Macaca mulatta: one gene and its partners. The protein of the gene in region 4 purifies or fractionates together with the protein of the main gene of each other region. This does not show direct contact. Links are inferred from orthologs where the notes say so. Each region holds a gene or a part of one and is shown on either strand. Other genes may lie near its edges.

The links.
Region 1: the proteins of CUL4B (region 4) and DCAF4 purify together in Homo sapiens (affinity purification with mass spectrometry; 9 studies listed by BioGRID and IntAct, counting the BioPlex papers as one, with this or other methods). This does not show direct contact. The link is inferred for Macaca mulatta from reciprocal best matches to the Homo sapiens genes CUL4B and DCAF4.
Region 2: the proteins of CUL4B (region 4) and COP1 purify together in Homo sapiens (affinity purification with western blotting; 4 studies listed by BioGRID and IntAct, with this or other methods). This does not show direct contact. The link is inferred for Macaca mulatta from reciprocal best matches to the Homo sapiens genes CUL4B and COP1.
Region 3: the proteins of CUL4B (region 4) and HDAC2 purify together in Homo sapiens (affinity purification with western blotting; 3 studies listed by BioGRID, with this or other methods). This does not show direct contact. The link is inferred for Macaca mulatta from reciprocal best matches to the Homo sapiens genes CUL4B and HDAC2.
Region 5: the proteins of CUL4B (region 4) and BRWD3 purify together in Homo sapiens (affinity purification with mass spectrometry; 3 studies listed by BioGRID and IntAct, with this or other methods). This does not show direct contact. The link is inferred for Macaca mulatta from reciprocal best matches to the Homo sapiens genes CUL4B and BRWD3.
Region 6: the proteins of CUL4B (region 4) and DCAF4L1 purify together in Homo sapiens (affinity purification with mass spectrometry; 3 studies listed by BioGRID and IntAct, counting the BioPlex papers as one, with this or other methods). This does not show direct contact. The link is inferred for Macaca mulatta from reciprocal best matches to the Homo sapiens genes CUL4B and DCAF4L1.
Region 7: the proteins of CUL4B (region 4) and COPS4 purify together in Homo sapiens (affinity purification with mass spectrometry; 9 studies listed by BioGRID and IntAct, with this or other methods). This does not show direct contact. The link is inferred for Macaca mulatta from reciprocal best matches to the Homo sapiens genes CUL4B and COPS4.

The regions. Positions count from the first base shown.
Region 1 is NC_133412.1:146,100,366-146,103,865, reverse strand, and holds part of DCAF4 (DDB1- and CUL4-associated factor 4), read right to left. Parts: intron 2,223-3,500; coding exon 2,121-2,222; intron 1,999-2,120; coding exon 1,901-1,998; intron 522-1,900; coding exon 348-521; intron 1-347. UniProt on the Homo sapiens protein: May function as a substrate receptor for CUL4-DDB1 E3 ubiquitin-protein ligase complex.
Region 2 is NC_133406.1:33,458,892-33,462,391, reverse strand, and holds part of COP1 (E3 ubiquitin-protein ligase COP1), read left to right. Parts: intron 1-194; coding exon 195-355; intron 356-3,500. UniProt on the Homo sapiens protein: E3 ubiquitin-protein ligase that mediates ubiquitination and subsequent proteasomal degradation of target proteins.
Region 3 is NC_133409.1:19,009,492-19,012,991, forward strand, and holds the end of HDAC2 (histone deacetylase 2), read right to left. Parts: intron 2,980-3,500; coding exon 2,824-2,979; intron 1,237-2,823; coding exon 1,179-1,236; intron 567-1,178; coding exon 536-566; 3' UTR 199-535; downstream 1-198. UniProt on the Homo sapiens protein: Histone deacetylase that catalyzes the deacetylation of lysine residues on the N-terminal part of the core histones (H2A, H2B, H3 and H4).
Region 4 is NC_133426.1:126,955,898-126,959,397, reverse strand, and holds part of CUL4B (cullin-4B), read left to right. Parts: intron 1-606; coding exon 607-722; intron 723-3,500.
Region 5 is NC_133426.1:86,994,507-86,997,566, forward strand, and holds part of BRWD3 (bromodomain and WD repeat-containing protein 3), read right to left. Parts: coding exon 2,616-3,060; 3' UTR 1-2,615. UniProt on the Homo sapiens protein: Plays a role in the regulation of cell morphology and cytoskeletal organization. Required in the control of cell shape.
Region 6 is NC_133410.1:41,230,358-41,234,576, reverse strand, and holds the start of DCAF4L1 (DDB1- and CUL4-associated factor 4-like protein 1), read right to left. Parts: upstream 2,801-4,219; 5' UTR 2,537-2,800; coding exon 1,346-2,536; 3' UTR 1-1,345.
Region 7 is NC_133410.1:50,736,338-50,740,266, forward strand, and holds the start of COPS4 (COP9 signalosome complex subunit 4), read right to left. Parts: upstream 2,801-3,929; 5' UTR 2,636-2,800; coding exon 2,562-2,635; intron 1-2,561. UniProt on the Homo sapiens protein: Component of the COP9 signalosome complex (CSN), a complex involved in various cellular and developmental processes.

The DNA of each region.
Region 1 (3,500 bases), on a different chromosome or scaffold from region 4:
GAGGCTGAGGCAGGAGAATCGCTTGAACCTGAGATGGAGGTTGCAGTGAGCCGAGATTGCACCATTGCACTCCAGCCTGGGCAACACAGCAAGACTTCGTCGCAAAAAAAAAAAAAAAAAAAAAAAAAGGTACACAACCAAAGAATCCTTTTCACTTTTGTTCACATCAGATTAGGCTCATATGGGCAACAAAGCAGTCCCCAGGCAGGGCCAACAAATCACTTGGTCTTCAGTGAACTTCCCCTGCCTGGGGTCTCGGTATGAGGACCTCTTCAGCAGAACCCTTTCACCTGGCAGGTCTCTGGGCCACGAGACCCTGTGGCCTGAGAAAGTTCATGATCCCCTACCTTTCCAGCCATGTCTGATGCCATCAGGTATTGCTCATCTTGGAGGATCCGCACAGAGGTCACTGCTGAGTCATGAAACAGGCGGGTGGCCTTCCATCCCTTGCCTTGATTTCCACAACGCAGATCAATGGCAAAGATTTCCCCAGAGCGGCAGCCATTAAACAGCAGAGGAACCTGTGGAAAGAGGGCCTGCTCGGTCCTGGCTACCATGACCTCCCTCTGAGGCTGGGCGGGGCAGGTCCTCCTGCTATAACCCCTCTTCTAGCCTCTGGGTCGGATGGTGTGATCAGACACGTGCTGGTCAGGGTTTGGGTCTCAATGGAGTTGGAAGGGAGGATGATTCCTTGTTAGTGGCTAGAAGAACCAGACCCCACGTGTCCTCCTCATGGGCAGCACAGAGGTCCTAGGAGCTGCCTGCTCCCCGCCCCCCCACGCACTGCCCCCTTTGGCCTTTCTCTCTGAAGTCCCAGAGATAGCACCCCATCTCTACCAAAGGTGGGTCAGCAGGTTCATTCACTTTTAAGGAAAGATGGTATTTTCTAGAGAAAAGTCCTTAAAATATAGTTATGACCACTTTTTTTTGAGACAGAGCCTTGCCCTGTCGCCCAGGCTAGAGTGCAGTGGTGCCATCTTGGCTCACTGCAACCTCCGCCTCCCGGGTTCAGGTGATTCTCCTGCCTCAGCCTCCTGAGCAGCTGGGATTACAGGCGCCTGGCACCACACCCAGCTAATTTTTGTATTTTTAGTAGAGAAGAGGTTTCACTATCTCGGCTAGGCTGGTTTCAAACTCCTGACCTCGTGATCTACCCATCTCGGCCTCCCAAAGTGCTGGGATTACAGCCATGAGCCACTGCACCTGGCCTGATTTTTTTTTTTTTTTTAAACTGACTTGAATTTATCAAGCTTAAATTCTTTTTTTTTTTTTTGAGACGGAGTCTCACTCTGTCGCCCAGGCTGGAGTGCAGTGGTGCGATATCGGCTCACTGCAAGCTCTGCCTCCCGGGTTCACGCCATTCTCCTGTCTCAGCCTGCCGTGTAGGTGGGACTACAGGCGCCTGCCACCACACCTGGCTAATTTTTGTATTTTTAGTAGAGATGGGGTTTCACTGTGTTAGCCAGGATGGTCTCGATCTCCTGACCTCGTGATCCATCCGTCTCGGCCTCCCAAAGTGCTGGGATTACAGGCGTGAGCCACCGTGCCCGGCCCTGATTTTTTAAATATATAAAACATATAACCTGAGAGCTGTGAAGAATTGGTGTTTAGCTTATACATTTTAAAGATGGTTTGTCCTGCTGGGTAACTCCAAGTACCCAAGAACTGCTCACAATTCCTTTCCATGAGAGGTTGTTTAGAGCAACTCAGGCAAGCCTTTCTGGATCAACCAACTTTCACTCAGTTCAGACACGCTTACAAAGGAACCCACTGAGCCTTTCTGATGCTCTTTCTCCCCTGTCAAAGACGACTAGATGGCACACAGAGGAGTCCAATTTCAATCTGGCCAAATTTCTGCACGGGGCAAACTTTATATTCTGCCTGTCCCAATCCAACTAACCATGAGAGCAAACTGCTGGGCCAAGACATCACTGTTGGTCCCAAAGGACTGCCGGTGTCCCGTCACCACGTTGGTCAACAGGACCCGCCGAGACAAGCCTGGCGGAGACAGAGATAGGCTGGTGAGATTATGTCACATGTAGTCTGGGGAGAGGGACAGCTACAGGGGTTTTAAGGTCTGTTAAGGCCTCTTCTCTGGGCACCTGGGGAGCCAGGCTCACCTGTACTGAAGCAGTTATTTGCTTGGATATTCAGGGACCAGGCACAGGACCAGGCACCAGGGATCCGGAAACTGCAGAGCATGCCAGGCCGGTCTATTCCTGCTAAGGGGATAGGAGAATGTAAATTGTGGCTGCCCTCTAGCCAGGCCAGGGACCACTGGGTTCAGAAAACATCCAAATATGCCCATAGCTGCTCAGAGGGTCTATACCTTTGGCCCCATTCTGGGTTTTGTGGTTGCAAGAGAGAGGCTCAGCTGGGATGCCTGGCTCACAAGTGGTTATTCTGAAAATGCATGTATGTTAACATTCCCAGTAGTCACGTTTATAGTACTGATATCAAGGAGGTAGTGTACTGTCAGAGGTAAGGTGGCTCCGATCCTCGATCACCTACCAGCTATGTGATCTCAGGCAAGTGTGTGTGTATATAGATACGCACACACAGACACACACACATAAAGATATATATAGATATACGTATCTTTAAGACAGGGTCTTGTTCTTTTGCCCAGTCTGGAGTGCAGTGGCATGATCATGGCTCAATGCATCCTCAACTTCCCAGGCTCAAGAAATCCTCCCATCTCAGCCTCCCAAGTAGCTGGGACCACAGGTGTGAGTCACCACACATGGCTTATTATTTATTTTTTGTAGAGATTGGAGTCTTGCTATGTTGCTCAGGCTGGTCTCGAACTCCTGGGCTCAAATGATTATTCTGCCTTGGCCTCCCAAAGTGTTGGGATTACAGGCATGAGTCACCATGCTTTGATAAAATATTTTTTAAAATAAACTTTTGCATTGATAGAACGTACACACTGGAAGGATACAGTTCAGGGAGTTATTACAAACTAAATATAGCCACGTACCCGCCAATCAGGTTGAGAAACAAAACAATCCAGGCCGGGCGCGGTGGCTCACGCCTGTAATCCCAGCACTTTGGCAGGCCAAGGCGGGTGGATCACCTGAGGTCAGGAGTTCGAGACCAGCCTCAACAACATGGAGAAATCCCATCTCTACTAAAAGTACAAAAATAGCCAGGTGTGGTAGAACATGCCTGTAATCCCATCTACTCGGGAGACTGAGGCAGGAGAATCGCTTGAATCCCAGAGACGAAGGTTGCGGTGACCTGAGATCACGTCACTGTACTCCAGCCTGGGCAACAAAACTCCGTCTCAAAAACAAACAAACAAACAAAGAAAAAAGAAAAGACATAAAACAATCCAGTACCCCAGAGGCCTCCCTCACATCCCTTTCCCAATTACTACCTCTCCAAAGGGTACTGTGAGCCTGACCTCCAACACTAAAAATTACTTTTGTAAGGCAAATTCTGAAACTCTCTGCCTCAGTTTCCTTAACCGTAAAATGGTGGTAAGACACACTCCTGCC
Region 2 (3,500 bases), on a different chromosome or scaffold from region 4:
CAGTAAAGTATAGCTTTTGTCCAAGAATCCTTTTCTTACATGATTTCTAATTAGTCCTGTAATCTAGCCTTTCAAATTTGACCATAAAAGATCTTTGAGCTAAAACTTTGGGTGATAATTACTATTAGAATGTGATGTCCTAATTCCGAGTTTTCCTATTCTAAAATATTATTATTATTATTATTTGTTTTCAGGAAGTGAGAATAACTCTCTGTACCTGTACTATAAAGGACTTTCTAAGACTTTGCTAACTTTTAAGTTTGATACAGTCAAAAGTGTTCTGGACAAAGACCGAAAAGAAGATGATACAAATGAATTTGTTAGTGCTGTGTGCTGGAGGGCACTACCAGATGGGGTAAGTTTTCATATCAGTTTTTTCACCTTGGGATCTCCTATTATGCATTATGTATACACAGGGTTTGATTAAATTTTAAAATATAAATTGGTGTGTGGTATGTACTATTTTTAAAACTTTGTAATGTGTCACCAAAGACAATAGGCATTTTAGGTAGTGATTGAAATGCACAGTAATAGAGCAATGTAATGGTGTCATCATGTCCCTCTGTGACCCATAGCATCTAGTGCATATCTCAGTTATAACGATTAAAATATTGTCTCTTCATATCTCTTCTGTAAGACTGGAAAATCCTCCAGAATACACATTCCGTCTCATCTTCTTTATTGATTATGTGCAGTATATGCTTGATAAACATTAAGCTGAGCTGGTATTTTAATAGGGAGAAAAAGAATTGGTGCAGGTAAAGGAGAGTGGCCTATATGGTGCTCTAATTAAATACTATTTCAAAGTAGAATTGCTTTCTGCAAAATACATTTATATATGAATATTTAAGCATATTTAGTATATTGATGAGAAAGTTATGCTACTAGGTTGTATGAAGAGAAGTTGCCTCAAACTTTTCACTTATGTTTTAAAGTATAAGGTTTTTCATAAGTTATATAAAAAAAAATTCTTGTTACTATCTTGATTTATATAAACATGAGTTGTTAGTATTGTATTTTTAAAATAGCTTTTTAGGTGCTTAGTTAGGTTTATTTTGACAAAATAAAATTCTGACAAAATTCTGACTTGATATGTAATTTAAAAATCCAAGTTTCAGGTATAGTTTCACTTTAATTAGATATATTCTATTGCTGTCTTAAAGTTTGCTAATTGACAGACTAGGTAATTTGGACCAACCCTTCCTCCAAGTAAAATTAGAAAAGTAGGACCAAATACATGTATTTTAAAAACAAGAACCTATTTGAAAGCATTGGAAAGCAAACAAGACAAGACACAATTACTGAATTTGGATTGTGACCCTGGCTTTTGAATCTGCTTTTCCCCTGTGAGCATTTGTCAGTTTTGGTGGGGTGGTTAAAAGCACTTACACTAGCTTCACAGGGTTGCAGGGACTGGAGCTCAGTGCCTGACATTATGTGAGTGACTACTTTTTTTTAAGTCCCCACAGGGGTATATTATAGGAGAAACCAGAAGATAAGCCTTCGTAGAGATTGCATCTGAACTTTTTATCAGTCTCTGAAATTGAATTGAGGTGACCCTTCATTGCTGATATTCACAGGATGCAAACTTAAATCCTCTCTGAAAAAAGATGAGATCATCTAAGTGCTTTATTTTTTTTCAGTTTTGTAACTACAATAACTAGGGCACAATAAAAAATAAACAGACATAGTAAAAGATAAGACAGCATGAATTAAACCAGCCTAAGCAACAGACTGTAGAAACAGTCACAGCAGCTCTAAATATTGGAGTTATCAGACAGCTTGAAAGTAGCTACGCTTATAAGATGAAAGACAAGATTGAAAATTTTAACTGAGAACTGGAAACTATTTTTAGAATGAAAATATAATTCTGCTTCTGGCCCCTTCCAAATTTCATGTCCTCACATTTCAAACCTAATCATGCCTTCTCGACAGTCTCCCAAGGTCTTAACTCATTTCAGCATTAACTCAGAAGTCCAAAGTCCAACATCTCATCTGAGACCAGCCAAGTCCCTTCTGCCTATGAGCCTGTAAAATCATCAGCAAATTAGTTAATTCCTAGATAGAAAGAGAATACAGGCATTGGGTAAATACAGCCATTCCAAATGGGAGAAATTGGCCAAAACAAAGCTACAGGCCCTATGCAAGTTCAGAATCCAATGGGGCAGTCAAATCTTCAGGTTCCAAAATGATCTCCTTTGACTCCATGTCTCACACCCAGGTCACACTGATGCAAGAGGTGGGTTCCCATAGTCTTGGACAGCTCCACCACTGTGGCTTTTCAGGGTACAGCTTCCCTCCTGGCTGCTTTCACAGGCTGGCATTGTCTGTGGCTTTTCCAGGTGAATAGTGCAAGCTTTCAGTGGATCTACCATTTTGGGGTCTGGTGGATGGTAGCCCTCTTTTCATAGCTCGCCTAGGTGGTGCCCCAGTAGGGACTCTGTGTGAGGGCTCCCACCCCACATTTCCCTTCTGTACTGCCATAGCAGAGGTTCTCCATGAGGGCCCACCCCTGCAGGAAACTTCTGCCTGGTCAGCCAGGCATTTCCATACATCCTCTGAAATCTAGGCAGAGGTTTCCAAACCTCAATTCTTGATTTCTGTGCACACGCAGGAACAACACCACATGGAAGCTGCCAAGGCTTGGGGCTCGCACCCTCTGAAACCATGGCCCTGGTTCTATGTTGGCCCCTTTTAGTCATGGCTGGAGCAGCTGGGACACAGGACACCAAGTCCCTAGTCTGCACACAGCATACGAACACTGGACCTGGCCCAGGAAACCACTTTTTCCTCCTGGGTCTCTGGGCCTGTGATGGGAGGGGCTGCTCTGAAGACCTCTGACATATCCTGGAGACTTTTTCCCCATGGTCTTGGGGATTAACATTCGGCTCCTTGTTACTTTTGCAGATTTCTGCAGCCAGCTTGAATTTCTCCCCAGAAAATGGGATTTTCTTTTCTGTTGCATTGTCAGGCTGCAAATTTTTCAAACTTTGGTGCTCCATTTCCCTTATTAAACTGAATGCCTTTAACAGCATCCAAATCACTTCTTGTATGCTTTGCTGCTTAGAAATTTCTACCAGGTACCCTAAATGATCTCTCTCAAGGACAGAGTTCCACAAATCTCTAGGGCAGGGGCAAAATGCCACCAGTCTCTTTACTAAAACATAACAAGAGTCCTTTTTGCTCCATTTCTCAGCAAGTTCCTCATCTCCATCTGAGACCACCTCAGCCTGGATTTCACGTCCATATCAGTATCAGCATTTTGGTCAAAGCCATTGAACAAGTCTCTAGGGAGTTCCAAATTTTCCCACATTTTCCGGTCTTCTGAGCCCTCTAAACTGTTCCAACCTATGCCTGTTAACCAGTTCCAAAGTCACTTCCACATTTTGGGGTATCTTCTCAGCAGCACCCCACTTCTGGTACCAATTTTCTGTATTAGTCCATTTTCACACTGCTGATAAAGATATAGTCAAGACTGGGTAATTTACAAAAGAAAGAGG
Region 3 (3,500 bases), on a different chromosome or scaffold from region 4:
GGGCAAGGTGGTAGAATTTCTATTGCAAAAATAGATAATAATTACTATAAATACTCTTCCCAAAGAAACAGCAAATAAGATATCTTTCGAGCTGTAATTATTATCTTTCATCTAGAGTGTATTGTAAGTCTAAAGAAATGATGTCATTAGCCGTTGAAACAAGATTTCATATTGTAGTAATAAACAGACAAAAGACAATCCAAGTACAATTTTTTAATAAAGATAATTACAAAAGATGGAAAAATCAGCTCAGAAAGGCCAATTACTTCTTTAATAGATCAGTTTTTTTGACATAATAACATCAATTTTAAATACTATCACATAAAGCATGGTGGAGAAAAGAAATTTTGCTTCATAATTAGAAAAACTCACAATAAAACTTGCCAAGAAAAACAAAAACGAAAAAGCCATTTGAAAATAAATACAGTCCATGCCAAAGTAGTATAAAATGAAGCCAGAAGTCTTCAAAAAGAAAACATTTTCCTTTCAATATTTTCTTTTTAATGATTTTCTGAAATTGGTGAGACTGTCAAATTCAGGGGTTGCTGAGCTGTTCTGATTTGGTTCTGTTAAAAGAGGCAATGTGAAATATTAACAATGGCACAATCTCGATTTCAATGCACTGACCTACTCTATTGATCAGGTCCTGTAGGCTCATGCTAACAAACACATTAATTGATAATGTCTTAAGTGTTTCTGGATAATTAATGCCTTAATCTTTCTAGTGATTTTATAATCATTCCAAGTTATCCTGTAAAGGCTGGCACAAAATTATGTATGCTCGAACTTTTACATGCTTTCTGACAATAAAATCCTCAACTGTTTTTACTTAAAATTGTTTCTTAAACGTACCTATCTCACAACACTAAAAAAATCATGTACACAGAAATAAGAACACCATGAAAACCATTAAGTGCACATATAAAAGACAATAGCAAAAAAGGATCTCAGATAAATGATGTATAAAAATACAAACTGACTTAGTTTATATTGATAAACCAATAGGTAAGATGGCATATGTTGTCTTATGTACCAATACAAACTAAAATTCAGAGCACCTCATAATGATGTTCTAAGGTTCAGTCTAGTATTTCTGAAGTGTGTACACACACACACCAATAAACATGTTTAGCATTTTTATAGTATGTAAAAAGTACTCAATAAGGAACATCATTTACCCTTTGGTATCTGTTTTTTCACCACTGTTGTCCTTGGATTTATCTTCTTCCTTAACGTCTAAAAATAAAGATTGGGAAAAGATTAAAACCTATTTTGAAATATAAAATGTATATATATTATTTCAAAATATACTTTATTTTTAAAATATAAAAAAGTATCATGCAATCTTATTATTAATGAATTAGGGTCTAAATAAGCTTTGTGTTGGGTGTTTCCTAAACGATGGCAGTACAAGCTATGAACAGTCACTGGATTGGGGTGGGGAGGAAGAGAAAAGGTGGCCCTAACTCTAGGTTTTGACCTATAGATTTAAAAAGTGTATTTCATTTTTCTGTAGGCTGAAGAAGTTTAACAACTGCAAGGCCCTATCAGAAGAGCCCCATCACCAAATAGAGGGTTTATTTTTTAAGCACAGAAAAGATAAAGCTTTTAAAAATGAGAACACCAAAAAATAGACAAGACGACGACATAGTGAAAATGAAAGAAAAGAAAAAAAGTTAGAAAAATCCTACAGCTAAAGTCAAGTCCTTACCTCAGTCATGGCTTGAATTTTTGGATGTCAATCAGTATACAAATATAGACTGAAGCCATCATTATAATACACTGCGAAGTTAAAATTATAAAATGGTAGATAGAGAACTGTATGTAGCCTATTGAGGAGTGAATTCACAAGGAAAAGAATAGAACTAGATGTGTCAGATGTTACAAATTACGAACTCTCTAGTTAAAAAAAAAAAAAAAAAGAGCCAGCTTATTCACATAACTTCAATTTGATAGATATAGGAAAAATTGGATCAGTACCTCTAAATCAGTTTTTCACATGCTACAGGATAAAAATTAACAGGTTAACTAAAACGTGTGCTCATCACCATTACCTGCATTAGGAAATGCATCAAGCGCTGAGAATACAAGTATTTAAGATATTGTGTTCCCTAGCCATGAGCAGCTCAATCTAGCAGGGAGACAAAATCCTGTGAGGTGCTATAATATGTGTTAAATAAAATGGCAAAGGCATGTGTAAGTGTTCTGGGAAGTCAGATGAAAGGTAACAGATTCAGGTAGCAAATTCAATTGCCTAAAGCTAACACAGCGTTTTAAGGTAAGGCAATGTATCAATGTATTAACTCCTTCCTAACCCACATCCCAAATCCCCTCCTAGCTTTCCTCAGAGCTTTTAATGTTTTCTTCAATTTCTGAACAAAATCCATTATTTGACCTTTTTCAAAATGGCAAAACTAGTCTAAGGGTATGTAACTCTTCTTTGTGTTTTCTCCCATTAAATAAGCTTTAGGTAGTTAAAAATTACCTTAGAAGTTCAGTTCTGACCATGCATTACAAATAGATTCATAATTACTTTGTCCTCTTTCTTACCCAATCTCTATCACAGTACAATGTTTACTATTTTAAACCCACGTTATCAAGAAGATAAAGTTTCCTATATTATTAAAGCAAACAGGAACAATAACATTTATATAAAAGCTTTAAGAGCTAAGCACCACTTACATGTAAGAAAAAAGAGTCATCTACCTAGCATACTTCCTCCTTTGATACTTGTGAAACTGACTTTAGGATCCCATAAACATTACAATGTAGCTCAATTTTTAAAATTTACAATTAAAACAACTACCAAGAAACAAATCTGACCTGCTTTTTTGTCCTCTGTTTCTTTCTTATCTTCTTCAATTCTAGCTTTCTTTGCTCCTTTCTTATGATCAGCCACATTTCTTCGACCTCCTTCTCCTTCATCCTCAGAATCTGAGAATTCTTCATCACAAGCTATCCGCTTGTCTGATGCTCGAACTGCACAAAAGATTTTAATAAATTTTGACAAAAAGAGTCATAGGTTTTATAATCATTATAGCATACTCATACAAACGCACCAGCAGTTACCACATTTAAAGGTAAAGGATAACAGATGCCTAATGATTTTAAAATTTGAATGGAATGAATGGTTTACTTAATATTGAAAACTTTGCTTTCAAGTATGAAGAAATGGCTCGAAAACACATAATAAAAATTGGGGGAATTTCTTTTTCTTTTAAAAATGCTGAAACTCTGAAGGAAAAAAGTGTGTTTTTCTAATGGGGATAGGAATAATATCATTACTTAAAAAGTAGCATTTTATTTCAGAGCTGAGAGGTGAAGTAGACCAAAAAAAGTACCAATACCAAATATGTTAAGACAGTCTATGCCCTACATGTACCATTATGCTACAATCTAACCATCATATTAAGTGTAATGAGAAGTTGCAAAATCAAACAGATGTTTAGTTATTTGGTTCACCCTACTTCAGATAAATGAGATGTCTTATTAATTGCCAA
Region 4 (3,500 bases):
TCATAAATGTAGTTTAAAACTACATGGAGTTAAGATATTTCCATTTCTATAGATGCTGCATAAATTTGGGGGTCAAACAGACCTGGATTAGAATCCCAGCTTTGCCATTGACTAGCTATGATGACCTTGGGCAAGCTTACTAAATGAGTTCCAGCCTCAGTTTCCTCGGTTGTAAAATAGATTCCTCAGGGTATTGTTGGGAAGATTAAGAGGTTTATAAAGTACCTTGCACATAGGCAGTATTTTAAATCTCAGGTTAAAAATTCATGTCGACTTAGGTTTTACACATGATGAAGTAAGATCAGGATTGTTGTTTTTTATGGTCATTCTTGAATTTTTATTTTTTTGAAGCAATACAATCAATAGGAGAAAAACCTCACCTTCAATTTTAATAGGTGAGTCAAAATGACTTAAATAGTATTATGACATTTCAAATTTTATTCTTTATATTAAGCTTAAATACAGTGGTTACTTTAATGATTAGGTGTGATAGTTATAAAGATCATAATTTACCCTAAAAATAGAGTAATGCTGTTGTATTTTATTGATCTTTGGTTACTGTATCTGACATGGTATTCTGATACCAACCTTTTACATATCATCTAGATAAGCCTAAATTACCAGAAAACTACACAGATGAAACCTGGCAAAAACTGAAAGAAGCAGTGGAAGCTATTCAGAATAGTACTTCAATTAAGTACAATTTAGAAGAACTGTACCAGGTATGTATTAATATGCATAACCAGATTTGATTAACATAAATTAAGGTGGGATATATATTGATTTTGCTTTCTGAAATAGGTTCTTAAGTAGACTTTTGGTTCCCTTCTAGTTTTAGTTTCTCAATTAATTGATGAACTCTTTAATTAGACCACGTATTCTCACATAAACTATGGGTACAGTCATACCGGTATAAATTGTGCTTATCTTTGACCCTTCTGATGAGGAATTACAGTTAGGTGTACCTTGGTGTAATAGAAGTTCTACCTATAATGAAATCCTATAGCATGAATCCCAAAGTTGATTTCTGGTGACATGTCGTTCTATTGTGATAATTGTTTCTTAGTTGTGTTACCTACCCATAGGAAAGGCCTCAAGACATGCAGATATTATTCATATCCTTTATTTTACCTCCTTCTTAATAGTAGACTTTGCTATTCCTTTTTCTTGCTCTTTACATTTTTCTAATACCTGGGCTACAAGACGCACCTTAGCCCAGAAATGAGCAGCAGTTTGTTGTCCAGCAGCTTAGTCTGAGGTTCAGATTCTTTACTTAGCAAATGGGTCCTTACACTTAAATATAATGTTAAGGGCAGTTACTAATGGCAATCTCTTGCTACCGAGAAATTTTTCCCTACTGTGTATTTGACACACAACCAATTCAAGAAGTTACTTTCATTAGAGTATCAGGGATTTGGTGTTAAAAGATACTTCAGGCCGGGCACGGTGGCTCACACCTGTAATCCCAGCACTTTGGGAGACCAAGGCTGGTGGATCACCTGAGGTCAGGAGTTCGAGACCAGCCGACCAACATGGAGAAACCCCGTCTCTACTAAAAATACAAAATTAGCCAGGCGTGGTGGTGCATGCCTGTAATCCCAGCTACCCAGGAGGCTGAGGCAGGAGAATTGCTTGAACCCAGGAGGTAGAGGTTGCGGTGAGCCGAGATTGCGCCATTGCATTCCAGACTGGGCAGCCAGAGCAAAACTCCATCTCAAGAAAGATATTTCAGAGTACTTCAGAGTACAATAGCTTGAATTTTTGTATTAATGAGTACCTTGTAAGAAATTATGTTGGTTCGATTTATCAGTATTTGTATATTTTAGTTGCAGAGCTAGTATGGTGATGGGCAAATCCTGGATTAGGAGTCAGAAGATGGGTTTGAGATCTAGTTTTGACTGCTGTGACCCTTGTAATATTGGGCCAGGTACTAAAGCCCTCTCAGTTTTTTTCCTGTTTTTTTAAGAGATAGGGGTCTTGCTATGTTGCCCAGGCTGGTCTTGAACCCCAGGGCTACAGCAGTCTTCTCACCTCAACCTTCCAAGGTGCTGAGATTACAGGCATGAGCCACCAAACCCAGCCGTCCCTCTCAATTTAAATTTCCTCCTCTCTAAAGTAGAGGAAATAATAATTTGCCCTACCTATCTCACAAGGTTGCTTATAAGAATCAAATAAGATATTTGTGGAAAAAACCTCCAGGCACTATAATCTTACAAATATGATGATATCACGAGTCATGCTTTTTTACAAGCCACAGTATAGCTTCTTCACTTGTAATATGTCAATTGAGATCACCGGTTTCTGTTGCTGTGAAAATTAGTCAGTACACGCAAAATACTCAAATCAGTGCACAACACATAGTAATAATGCCATGTAACATTATAAACATTGTAATGCTATGTAAATGTCAGCTAATAGTTGTAGTACTAAGCTGTTACTTAAGAATAAGCCCGTTTCATATGGCTCTTTTGGCATATTATATGTGTGTCTCCTAAAATGTACAACAATAAAAGTCAAAATATGAAACTGACTTGGAAAGGCCTTAAGAGAGCATGTGGTCCAATATTTTTCTTTGTGGTGTCTGTGACAGCCTGCAAAGGGGATTCATCTTGTATTATCTCATATAAGCATTACGAAAACCCTTTCTGGAGTACGTAGGGTAGTAGTTACTATCTCCACTTTTTATTTATATTTATTTATTTATTTATTTTTGAGATGGAGTCTTACTACGTCACTCAGGCTGGAGTGCAGTGGCATGATCTCGGCTCACTGCAGCCTCTACCTCCCGGGCTCAAGTGATCCTCTTGCCTCAGCTTCCCAAGTAGCTGGAATTACAGGCACCTGCCACCACGGCCTACTAATTTGTATATTTTTAGTAGAGATAGGATTTTACCATATTGGCCAGGCTGATCTCGAACTCCTGACCTCAAGTGATCCACCCGCCTCCACCTCCCAAGGTGCCGGGATTACAGGTGTGAGCCACCGCGCCCGGCCTATCCCCAGTTTATTGATGAAGAGACTGAGTCTCAGAGAAGTTGAATAACCTGCCCAGAGTCACATATTGGCAGAGTCACATATTGGCAGAGCAGGGGCAACTCAAACTGAGATGCTGGATTTCTAGTTCGTTGCACTTTTACTCCTGTACTACCTCACTAATATACCCTGGTACTTTGAATACCACTGTAGTGCAGTGTTTGAAGCAATTAAATTGTTTTACTTTAGGGAAAAAGCTCTTTATCATTGAAGTAGTATTTTTATCTGTGCATGCATAAGTGGTGTTTATTTGGATAGTATATGGTGTTTATTTGGATATGCTGGTATACAGCATATTTAATTTCAATAATGTGTTATTTTATATATTCCATATTTATAACAAATGTTTATTGTAGTTGTTAATGAACCCTATTTACTTTACCTTGAATATTTTTCCAGAGCTTTTGCTTTGAAAATATTTTTCCTGATATATTGATTCTGTTAAATCTTTTCGTTTCAAGAGCATA
Region 5 (3,060 bases), about 40 Mb from region 4:
TGTAAATTGGGGGGAAAAAAGTCCAGATATAAAAGTAAAAATACTATCTTCCAAACTTTTATTTTTCACACTTATTAAAATAATTTGCATGCAAACAGAAAATTATCTGTTTGTTTAATAAATGATAACTATGTTTATCTAACATACCCTGATGACTAACTCTTTAAATCTTAATAACTGAAATAAACATTACAGCAAAGTGCTGTTCACTAATATTTTCACAGTATTTCACTACATATAAAATATGCTTTAAAATGTCTTCAGCCTTATTATTCTAATTATCTAATTCTAGAAAATCTTGACATTTGGGAAATAAATGTGGCATTTTTATTTTTCAAAATAAATTATAAATAAAGCTCCAGATAGCCAAAATCACACAAATGTCAATTCTTCTACATTTCAAGAGGTCAGCTCTTCATAGAAGAATGTCAACAAAAAATTTCACACTAAAATGATACATGTGATCCATATTTGGGTATATCCAGGAATTTAAGTAACTATGTTACTTAGATCAGGATAGGCCAAAGTATTATTGATTTCAGGAATACAGGCACGATTTAGTCTAAATGCCCAAGAGATAAATAACTGAAACAGCACGTTTTAGGAAAAACCAAATGTAGTTTCAAATAGGAACGTTTTGAATCTCTACTATGGTTAAAAGTGGCAGCTGAGTTACAACCAGTAGTAGTTTTGGTTTAGTGAAAAAAAGACTACAACAAAAAAATAGCTTGGTCTGCTGTCTAGTAACAGAAGTTAGTGCCATTAACAATTCACAACAATACTTTCTCTTAAAGCCTGAACATCATTTCTACTGCAAGTGAAAACTGCTTAAAGATGTTAGTCCAAGAATAACCCTACTGCCGACCCTACCAAAAAAGCAAAGTTTTATGTGTGTACACCTTCCTCTGCACTTAAGGGTTTTCAGATGCATGAAATGATTGAAAGCATGAGACAAACACATTAGCTTAAGAAAAATCCTGGGATAGCTAGGTATACACTAAGAAGTCTGTTTTATCCCATGAGCCTGATCTAAGTGCAACAAATTTGCTGTTACAGAAACATAAATTGATATTATCCCTCTTACCTCAGAAATGTAAGTATCTAACAAATCAACAAATCTGTAATATTAAATTTGGGGACTAAAATTGACCTTGAAACTCAAGCTCACTTATGGAACCATGTGCACTCTACTGCTGTAAACAAGACAATAAGGGTTTTTAAAGATGCTTTTTATCTATAAAATAATGATTCACAACATCAGTGTGCAGTGCAATAAGGTTCTTTCCTGAAAGACTAGAACAGAAGAACCCTTTGGAATGATATGAGCAGAATCTGTAAGTTGATTCATAATACTAGCTAGCCAAAACATTCCAACTCAAACTAGGTGCTTTGTTAAATTTTAAGATTCAAATGAAAACCAGTAACTCACAGCTGTTAAATGGTAAGTGGAGCAGAAATATATGAGCAGTAGCCCAAGTCTACTTACACAAATATGTTCATGTTCTAAGAAAGTCTAAGGTAGAGCATACTATACTTATGAAAGTTTGTTAATTACAATTATTAATTTGAGAGCCAATACAATTATTAACAACCTCTCAGCTTATAACTTATGGGTATTCATTCCTACTAAGCTTGTTCTATTTCTCCTTAGTCAGTAAGGAATAACAGCATCTATTTTCCTTAATGTTTCCAGTAGTTGTAGTTAAGAGGTAGCTGAGCTACTGTTCAAAGAAGTTGTTCTTTGTGGATGAGGATTTTTCAAATGTTTAAGTTATTTAAGCTACACAAATTCTATTAATGCAATAAAATGTGATAGGAAAAAAAATTGATGCAGGAAACTTTTGCATTTGGCACCTTGTCTAGATTGATACCTCAAGTATTCTTTTTTAATAAAGTTAATGCACACATCAGAACACACCACGAAGATCTGCTACATATTTACAAGGCACCAACCCTTTCTCACCTTTAACGTGAATTATGCAAATCAATGAAAAGCATATCAAGATCCCCCCACCCCCCAAAAAACTGTAGTATAAATATATACTTCAGTTCAGTACAAGTCATGAAAGTTTGGCCTGGGAAGAGTAAAATAATCCAGATCGCTCTTACAATATAGAAACTGTAAACATTTAATAGCTGCCTTTAGGATTGGTGTATTGTGCAAAAGTTATTATTACTGGGTATAGGAATCAAAATGGCAAAAACAAACTATATAAAACTCTGTAAGAAGGTGCTATACTTCTGTGATACAAAAGCAAAAGAGGGCTATTCTATTGAGATAAAAATGTCATGCTACTCTTAAGAAGCTGAATGCTCCTTTAATGTAGTAAATCTGTAGTGTGTCTGTGTTGTGTTTCGTGTGTGTGTGTGTGTTTGTGTGTGTGTGTGTGTGGGCAGAATTTCTTTTAATTTAAGGCCTAATGAGTAAGGCTTATTTGAACAAATGAAGTGTGGAGATCAAAAGTCTTGAAACAAATGTATACTGGCATAAATGGAAAAGCACCAATGTGAAAGGAAGCAGAAGTCCCCACACAACTTGCTTTGTAGATTTCCTGGTAAATTCCCTGCAGTAGAAGGCCATTGAATTTTTTAAGTTATTCTAAATTTATTAACTGTTAATAATTCCATCCCATGAGATGGCTAACCCTGGCTTTTTCTGTCATTTTACGCACTCTGCCTGATCTGGATGTACCAAGATTCAGAGGATCCTCAGTGGACACAAAATTGTCATTATCAGAATCATCATTATATAAAACAGTCCTCCTGCCTTGGTTTCTTGTTTTAATTCGAGGCAGTCTACTGAAACGTCCTGAAAACATGGTATCAAATTCATCATCTGCAATACGTGCTCGTTTGGCTCTGGTAGCTCCTCTAGAAGCACCTCTTCCTCCTCTCCCTCTTCCCCTCCCCCTAGTGCCACCTCCACCTCTTCCTCTACTCCCTCGTCCCCTGCCTCCTCTTCCTCTGCCTCCTCTACTCCATCTACCCCATCTTCCCCATCTGCCTCTTCCTCCTGTGCCTCTGGTCTTCCAATTTCTTTTTCCATTGCCATGTTGCTTT
Region 6 (4,219 bases), on a different chromosome or scaffold from region 4:
TCTGATCATTTCTACTTCTCACATGCAGGTCCAAGGCATCACTGTCCCTTGCCTGACTAACTACAATAGTGTCCTAATTGCTTTCTTATTTTTATTTAAGAATAGCATATATACAGTAAACTATAAAAATGTGAAGCATATAGCTATATGAATTATGTATTTATCAAGTGTCAAGATAAAGAAAACTCAGCATTCCTAAAGCTTCCCCATGTCACTTCTCAAGCATCCTAAAAAGAAAAAGAAAAAAAAAAATCCTTTCTTTCTACAGAGGTATCTACTATTCTACCGTTAATCACCATAGACAAGTTTTTACTGCTTTTGAACTTCAGAATTGAACCATACAGTTTGTACTCATTTCTACCTAATTTCAATCACCATGTTGAGATTGGTCCATACTGTTTCACATAGCAAGTGTGCCTTATTTTCTATTATTATGCAGTATCCAATTGTATGATTATAGCACGAGTTTTAGCATTTTGGAAATTCAGATAATTTCCAGGCTTCGGCTATTAAGAAATAGCAACTAACATTATTACATTTTTTTTTCTTCCTTGCTTGGTAGAAAAACAGGCTCTTTAACATTTTTAATAAACCTCTCACAAACTGCTGCTCCTAGATTACAAAAAGTCAAAGCCAATTCCTTGAATCTGAACTTCAAGTCACCATAATAGAAACCGGAGCTGCTGCACCTTACATTCTGAAAGGTACTTCAACAAAAGCACATTAAAGACTGTTTAAAACTTCTCGTATTTAAGAAGATCCCTCTTTCCTTCCAATGCCTATGGATAATAATAAAACGAGAATCTTAAGGGATCTGCTATTGAGTTTGAGAAATTTAATGATTCCAAACTGCAGCCTTAAATATTTCTGTAGAGACTCCGAGAAATTACCTCTCCCTTGTCTCCACTCCCACTGGCTTCCTCAAGCACAGATGCCTGGGACCCTTTGTGACTAGTCAGTCTTACTAGTACCATCATTATGCTTCTCTAAAGGGCTACTAGTGAAAGAAGCTGCTTTAATTTATTTTAGTTTTTGCCAATCTTCAGTCCTTAGAAAAGTCTTACAAAAAAAAAAAGGGTGGGGGAGATGGTTAACTGTTCTAAGGCATTCAACAAGAGGAAATAGGTATCTTTTATGAAAAGGACTTTCAAGTTAAGTCCAGTTTAACTGAAATAACTTTACGGAAAAGTCTCCACATAAAACTCTTAACACCTTACCCCTGGCAGCCGGATAGATGGGATCTATATATATCACGTCTCTTAAACTGCTCTCACAGAAACGGTAGTAAGATACTCTTAACTTCCTTAAGTCAAATCCACATTCGGCCGCGCTGCAATCTGCGGAATTAGCTGAAGGGGAAACAATAAAGGTCCTGCCGGACAGCCATGAGCAGCCCTGGTGCTGCTCCCCGGATGCCCCCGAGCCGAGAAGCGAAGGCCACGCTGGGAATGTCGTCCTCGGAGGCAGAATACGGGGAAGGGATGGTTCTGAGCAGGTGGGCATCATGGAGGCTCCAGATTCTCGTGTAGCAGTCCTGGCCCACTGCCACCACGATTCCCTCTTCCTCGTGCACATGCAGGGGCAGATAGGCGGACTCATTCACGTGACCTTCGTACTGCCTTAAACATTTAGTGGCCCTCAGATCCCACAGCTTGATCTTTCCAGTCATGTCTGACGCCATCAGGCATTGCTCTTCTTGGAGGATTTGCACAGAGGTCACTGCAGAGTCATGGAACAGGCGAGTGGCCCTCCACCCCTTGCCTCGATTTCTACAGCGCAGATCAATGGCAAAGATCTCCCCGGAGCGACAGCCATTAAACAGCAAAGGAGCCGTACTAGCAAATTGCTGGGCCAAGACATCACTGCTGGCACCAAACGACTGCTGGTGTCCCGTCGCCACGTTGGTCAACAGGACCTGCTGAGACAAGCCTGCACTAAAGCAGTGATATGCCCGGGTGTTGAGGGACCAGGCACAGGACCAGGCCTCAGGGATCTGGAAACTGCAGAGCATGCCAGGCTGGTTTACTCTTGTGTGAACACTTAAGAATCGCGACGCTGGGAGCAGCACCGCACAGCTTGGAGCATCTGTAATTCCCTCGAAGCACAGCAGAATGTGAGAGTCCAACTGGTTCAGCGAGGCCCAGCACAGGGACTTCACCTTCCGGTTGGGGACGTAGAGGTTTCTGAGCACGTACACGTGGAATGAAGGGATCTTCAGAGTTCGCAGGCTGATAATGCCGTACTTGGAGCCTTCGACTTCGACCTGGTTCACTACGAAGAGCTGGTCGCTGTTGGTACTCGCCAGAATGAAGTTAAATCGGTCGGTCGCCAAAGAGGAGGGATCCAAGCTCCGAATCTGGACTTTTTTTCTCTCCATGCAGCTCACACGCAGCTCGTTGGCTAAACGGGAGTAACTGGTGACGTTGAGGAAACCTAGCTGGCTTTTTCGGAGCATAGAAGATGCATTAAATCCCATTCTGGCTACCTTTTTCTGCTTGGCCTCCTCCTCGAGGAGTCGCAGCCTTTCCGCCTCCATTTCCTCCTGCGGACTGTTGCTCGTGACAGGAAATTCTTCAGGATGTTCTTTTCCGTGACAGGAAGTTCCGTCCGGGCGCGAACGGAAGTGTTGCTAATTTTTATCTCTGTATTCTGGGAGCAAGTCCTTTGTTGCAGATGTGTATTACAAGTCTCTTTTCCTACTCTGTGGGTTGTCATATTCTCTCAGTGGCGTCTTGACGAAAGTTCTTGATGTTAAATTTTTTCCTTTCTCTTTTTGAGACAGGGTCTTGCTCTTTCACCCAGGCTGGAGTCCAGTGGCCCGACCACGACTCACTGCAGCCTGGAACTCCTGGGCTCAAGTGATTCTCCTACTTCTGCCCTACCTAGCTGGGACTATGGGCTCGAGACACCACGCCCGGCTAATTTTTTTGTAAAGATGGGGTCTCCCTGCGTTGCTGATGCTGGTCTGAAACTCGAGCTCGAGCAGCCTGTCCGCCTCAGCCTCCCAAAGTGCTGGAATTACAAGCATGAGCCCACCGCGCCTTGCCTGTATTTCTTAATTTTTTATTTTTTATTTTGAGATGGAGTCTCGCTGTGTCACCCAGGCTGGAGTACAGTGGCGCGATCTCGGCTCACTGCAAGTTCCGCCTCTCGCGTTTCACGCCATTCTCCTGCCTCAGCCTCCCAAGTGGCTGGGACTACAGGTGCCCGCCACCATGCCTGGTTAATGTGTATATTTTTAGTAGAGACAGGGTTTCACCATGTAGGTAGGATGGTCTCAATCTCCTGACCTCGTGATCCGCCCGCCTCAGCCTCCTAAAGTGCTGGGATTACAGGCTGAGCCACCGCGCCCGGCCGCCTGTATTTTTAAAATACAGTTAGAGACCAGAGGGGGCGGCTTGGTGAAACTTTGTCTCTGAAAAAGTACAAAAATTAGACCGGGCGCAGTGGCTCACGCCTGTAATCTCAGCACTTTGGGAGGCCGAGGCAGGTGGATCACGAGGTCAGGAGATCAAGACCATCCTGGCTAACACGGTGAAATCCCGTCTCCACTAAAAATACAAAAAATTAGGGGGGACTGGTGGCGGGCGCCTGTAGTCCCAGCTACTCGGGAGGCTGAGGCAGGAGAATGGCGTGAACCCGGGAGGCGGAGCTTGCAGTGAGCCGAGATTGTGCCACTGCATTCCAGCCTGGGCAACAGAGCGAGACTCTGTCTCAAAAAATAAATAAATAATTATACAAAAATTAGCGGGGCATGGTGCACACCTGTAGACCCAGCTACTCAGGAGACGGGAGGGAAAATCACCTGAGCCCAGAAGGTTGAGGCTGCAGTGATCACCCCACTGCACTCCAGCGAAGCCAGGAGACAGAATAAGACCCTGTCTCAAAAAGAAAGAAAAATAAGTAAATAAATTATGGATTTGTCCAAACTGTCAATTTGTTTCATTAATGGTATCTTTCGTGTTCTGTTCAGGACATTTGTACCTATTACATGATACTAGTAAAGTTTTGGGGACTTCCAAGAGGAGACTGATAGCTCCAGTCCCCATCTGGATGTTTCCTCTGCCACAAAGCTTGCTGACTGTCCCTAGGCTATGAATTTCCAGGAATTTTGGAGGACTGGGGAGAGTTGGTAGGGACTACAGAGAAATCCGGTGATATCTGGACTATGGATCCTGTCGGAATCTACAGGCCACAGAGCTGGGATCTCAGAGAGCAC
Region 7 (3,929 bases), on a different chromosome or scaffold from region 4:
CATTTCTAATTGAGTTTTTAACAAGAAAACGAGCATAGTCTGGTAGGTTTAAAATGAGCTTTTTAGAGTGATGAACCTGGGTTCAAATACAAGCTCTGCCCCTTTCTAGCTATTCATTAATTCAACCACATGTATTGAGCAACTGTTGTTATAGATATCCCAATTGCTGGGAACACACAGTATTGATGTTTTAGAAACAATGTACTCCATTATTCTTTAATATGGAATCCTTTGTTTCTCAGCTCCTAAAAAATCCCCAAAAACCTTCATTAAAAGTACATACAAGAAAAAATACATTAAAAAAAAAACTGATATATTTCAAGGGTACTTCTCTTAAAGCATGTAGCTGGTAAAACTGATGTTGTTATAAGGATAAATATCCTGATACTTTCTTGCTCAGATAGGAACTGCAAGCAAGCCCAAGACTTTTCTCAGAAAGCAGCTCTGAAGGAGTTGCTGGCTAACACAGCACTGGCTATCAGTTATCAAGCACATTATTTCATTTAATCTTCACAACACCATGTGGTAGATTGCTACAGTAATGGCTTCCAATGAATCATGTCTCCCTCTGTCCAGGCTCCTTTGCAATGTAACTTTGCCACTAAAGAGGCAGTAGTAGGCTCCATTTCCCCTCCCCTTGAATCTGGGCTGGTCTTCTGATTTACTTTTACCAGTACTAGAGAATTGATATGAGACTTTCTAGGCTATCCTTAAGAGGTCTTGTGACTTCCCCTCTCATAGCCACCTAAGAAAGCCCAAGCTAAACTAATGAATGAGAGACTATGTGCACAGAGAGACAGATCCTGCCAAGAGCAAGATATGCATGTGAGTCCAGCCCCAGGTGAGTTGCCAGCTGACTATATCTGCATGAGTAAGCCCAGACAAGACCAGAAGAGCTGTCCAGTCAATCCATAGAATCCTGAGAAATCACAGTTGTTTTACACTGGTAAGTTTTTGGTTACAAAGCAACAGATAACTGAAGTACCCTATAAATACTATTGTTTATCTCCAATTCAGACCTGAAAAAGTAAATACTTAAGTTTCAGAACTCTCCAAATACATGAAAAGCTCTATTTCTTCTGATAACTAATGCACTTATTTTTCTTTTACAAAATAAAAAGTAAAGGAAGCATGGGGGAAAAAATATAAGCTGCTTTTACTTTCATCCATATCTACAAAATTACAAGCAAAAAGGATTAAACCATGAAGACATATTTATTTCCAACCCATACAATAAGTGAATATATATTACTGACAGCTTAGTGATAGTAACAACAATCTTGTGGCACTTTCTATATGTCAGGTACTGTTCTAGGTGATATAAGTGTGGTAAGTATATATGCACACAGATACTCATCTTGTCTTCAGATAATCTCAGACAAGAATATGTCCTATTATCATCTTCATTTTCCTAAATGGGAAAATGCAGCACAAAGTAGTTACGCCCAAAATATACGGCTGAATTTCCCACTGATAAAAGTAGATTACATTTACCACCAGAGAAAAGGCAGCCTAGCCTACTTAAAACAGTCAGAATTTCGATGACCAGGTTAGAGCAGGTGTATCCCATTAACATACATAAAGTGATTTCAGCTGTCAGGATGTAAACATTAAGATCAACTTGAGAGGCATACTTTATTTACTTATTTATTTATGGAGACGGGGGTCTCACTATGTTGCCCAGGCTAGTCTAGAACTCCTGGCCTCAAGTGATCCTCCCACCTCAGCCTCTCTGCACCCGGCCTAGAGAGGCATACTTTAAGTTCATTACAAAAGATCAGTGCTGTGACATCTACAAAGAGAAAATGAACAATATACGTCTACCTACCTATGCTTAATACTGTTGAACAACTGCTTGCACAACAGGCACGTCACACATTTTAACTTGGAGTGAACCTAAGCATTCTATATGAATTTCGACAAAATTCAGATTCCTGCAAACATCACTACTCTAGACATCCTGATCCGCGATATGAGCACATTCCGCCTATGTGCCTTCAGAGTTGGTGGTGGAGAAAATACCCGAAACACAAGGACCCACAGAAGACAGTCTGAGTGGTCTGGACGACATGACAGCGGCCATACCTCCTCAGTCTCAGCCAGCCCCAAGAAGCCATCTCCCCGAAAAACACACCATCAAGGCCCCAGAATATACATTTCTCTGAATCAAAAAAAGGAGGAGGAAGGTCCAACGAGAGGCCAGATTCGGTGTGAGGCCGGCCAGCGATAGGAAGAGGTACCAGGGAAGGCTACTAAGGCCAGGGTAGCAGTCATCTGTCAGACCGCTCTTCCAAAATCCTAAGGGACCAGAGGGATTCTATCAATAACTGAACAAGTTGACAGTCATCCCAAGTCTATGGCCTCGAAGGCCCCTGCACAAGGTCCCCTCCAGCTCTCTGCTTCTCCCAACATTTGCCTCCCTAGCCGACCTCAGGCCCGCCCCCTTGGTCGTCAGGCCGGTTCCTAGCTTCACGCCCAAGAGTCGTGGCCAACCTAAGGAGATTAAGGCTGTGGCTTTCTTTCCCCACCTCTGTACTCCCGCGTTGCTGGGAAATACTCACTTGCCAGCCAGATCTTTATGAGAGCCGCTCGAATTCATGAGCTGGGCCAAATCCTGTCGCACGGCTGCCGCCATCTTTCTCCCAGCTCAGCGGTGGATGCGGGGCCTCTGGCAGCCAAAAAGAAAACGAGTGTGGTCCTCCAGAGTGCAGCCAGAGGGAACCTGAGATGCTACAGAGTAGCGTCTGTGTGGGCCAGAGCGTCGGGTGTGGGAGCCTGGGCTAGCTCCGCCCTCAGGGTTGAGTGATGCGGGGCTCCACTCCTCAGGTCTGAGGCCTGCCCAGCCCTCTCCTACAGGCTCTGGCTCTCACGCTCGGACTTTGGATTGGCTGATGAACTCCAGGAGTGAGTCTCTAGTGTAACTCCAATAAGTACCCGGTACATAAAACGACTGCGTTTTCGCAAAGTTCCATGTCTCATGTCTGTGGTTTACCGTCCTTAGGTCTTTCAGGCAGCGCTTAAACTGCCTGTGGTAAAGAACGAGTTTTGTTTCTGATTCACCACAGACGATACTTTTTAGAAATACAATTAAAAAGTCCCCATTCCTCCTCCCACTCCATGCACTTTATAAAGGTTGATCAGATATTCCAGTTTGTCCAGTACAAAGCCATTTTCCCTCTGTCGTCCTGGAGTAGTGATTAATAACATCCCCCCTTGCGGCCGGGCGCGGTGGCTCACGCCTGTAATCCCAGCACTTTGGGAGGCCGAGGCGGGCGGATCACGAGGTCAGGAGATCGAGACCATCCTGGCTAAACACGGTGAAACCCCGTCTACTAAAAATACAAAAAAATTAGCTGGGCGTAGGTGGTGCACGCCTGTAGCCCCAGCTACTCGGGAGGCTGAGGCTGTAGAATGGCGTAAAACCCGGGAGGCGGAACTTGCAGTGACCGGAGATTGCGCCACTGCGCTCCTGCCTGGGCGATAGAGCAAGACTCCGTCTCTAAATAAATAAATTAATTAATTAATTAAAATAACATCCCCCCTTTCATTCTACAAACGGTTGCATTTCAATGGAAGATTATATGGTCGCCTGCGTTTATGTGATATTCAATACTCATGTATTCTTATGGAATTTCTGCAAATACAAGCAAATATTAATAAATATAAAATTTTACCTCTCCTTTCACAAAAAGTAACACCACATAATTGTTCTGCTTTGTTTTTTGTTGTTGTTGTTGTTGTTGTTTTGTTTTTTTTGTTTTTGTTTTTTTTTTTGCACTTTTCCTGGTACTATGGTTTGAAATAATTGTCTTCTCCAAAACGCAAGTTGAGGGCTGGGTGCCGTGGCTCACGTCTGTAATCCCAGCACTTTGGGAGGCCGAGGCGGACGGATCATCAGAGGTTGGGAGTTCGAGACCAGCCTGAACAAC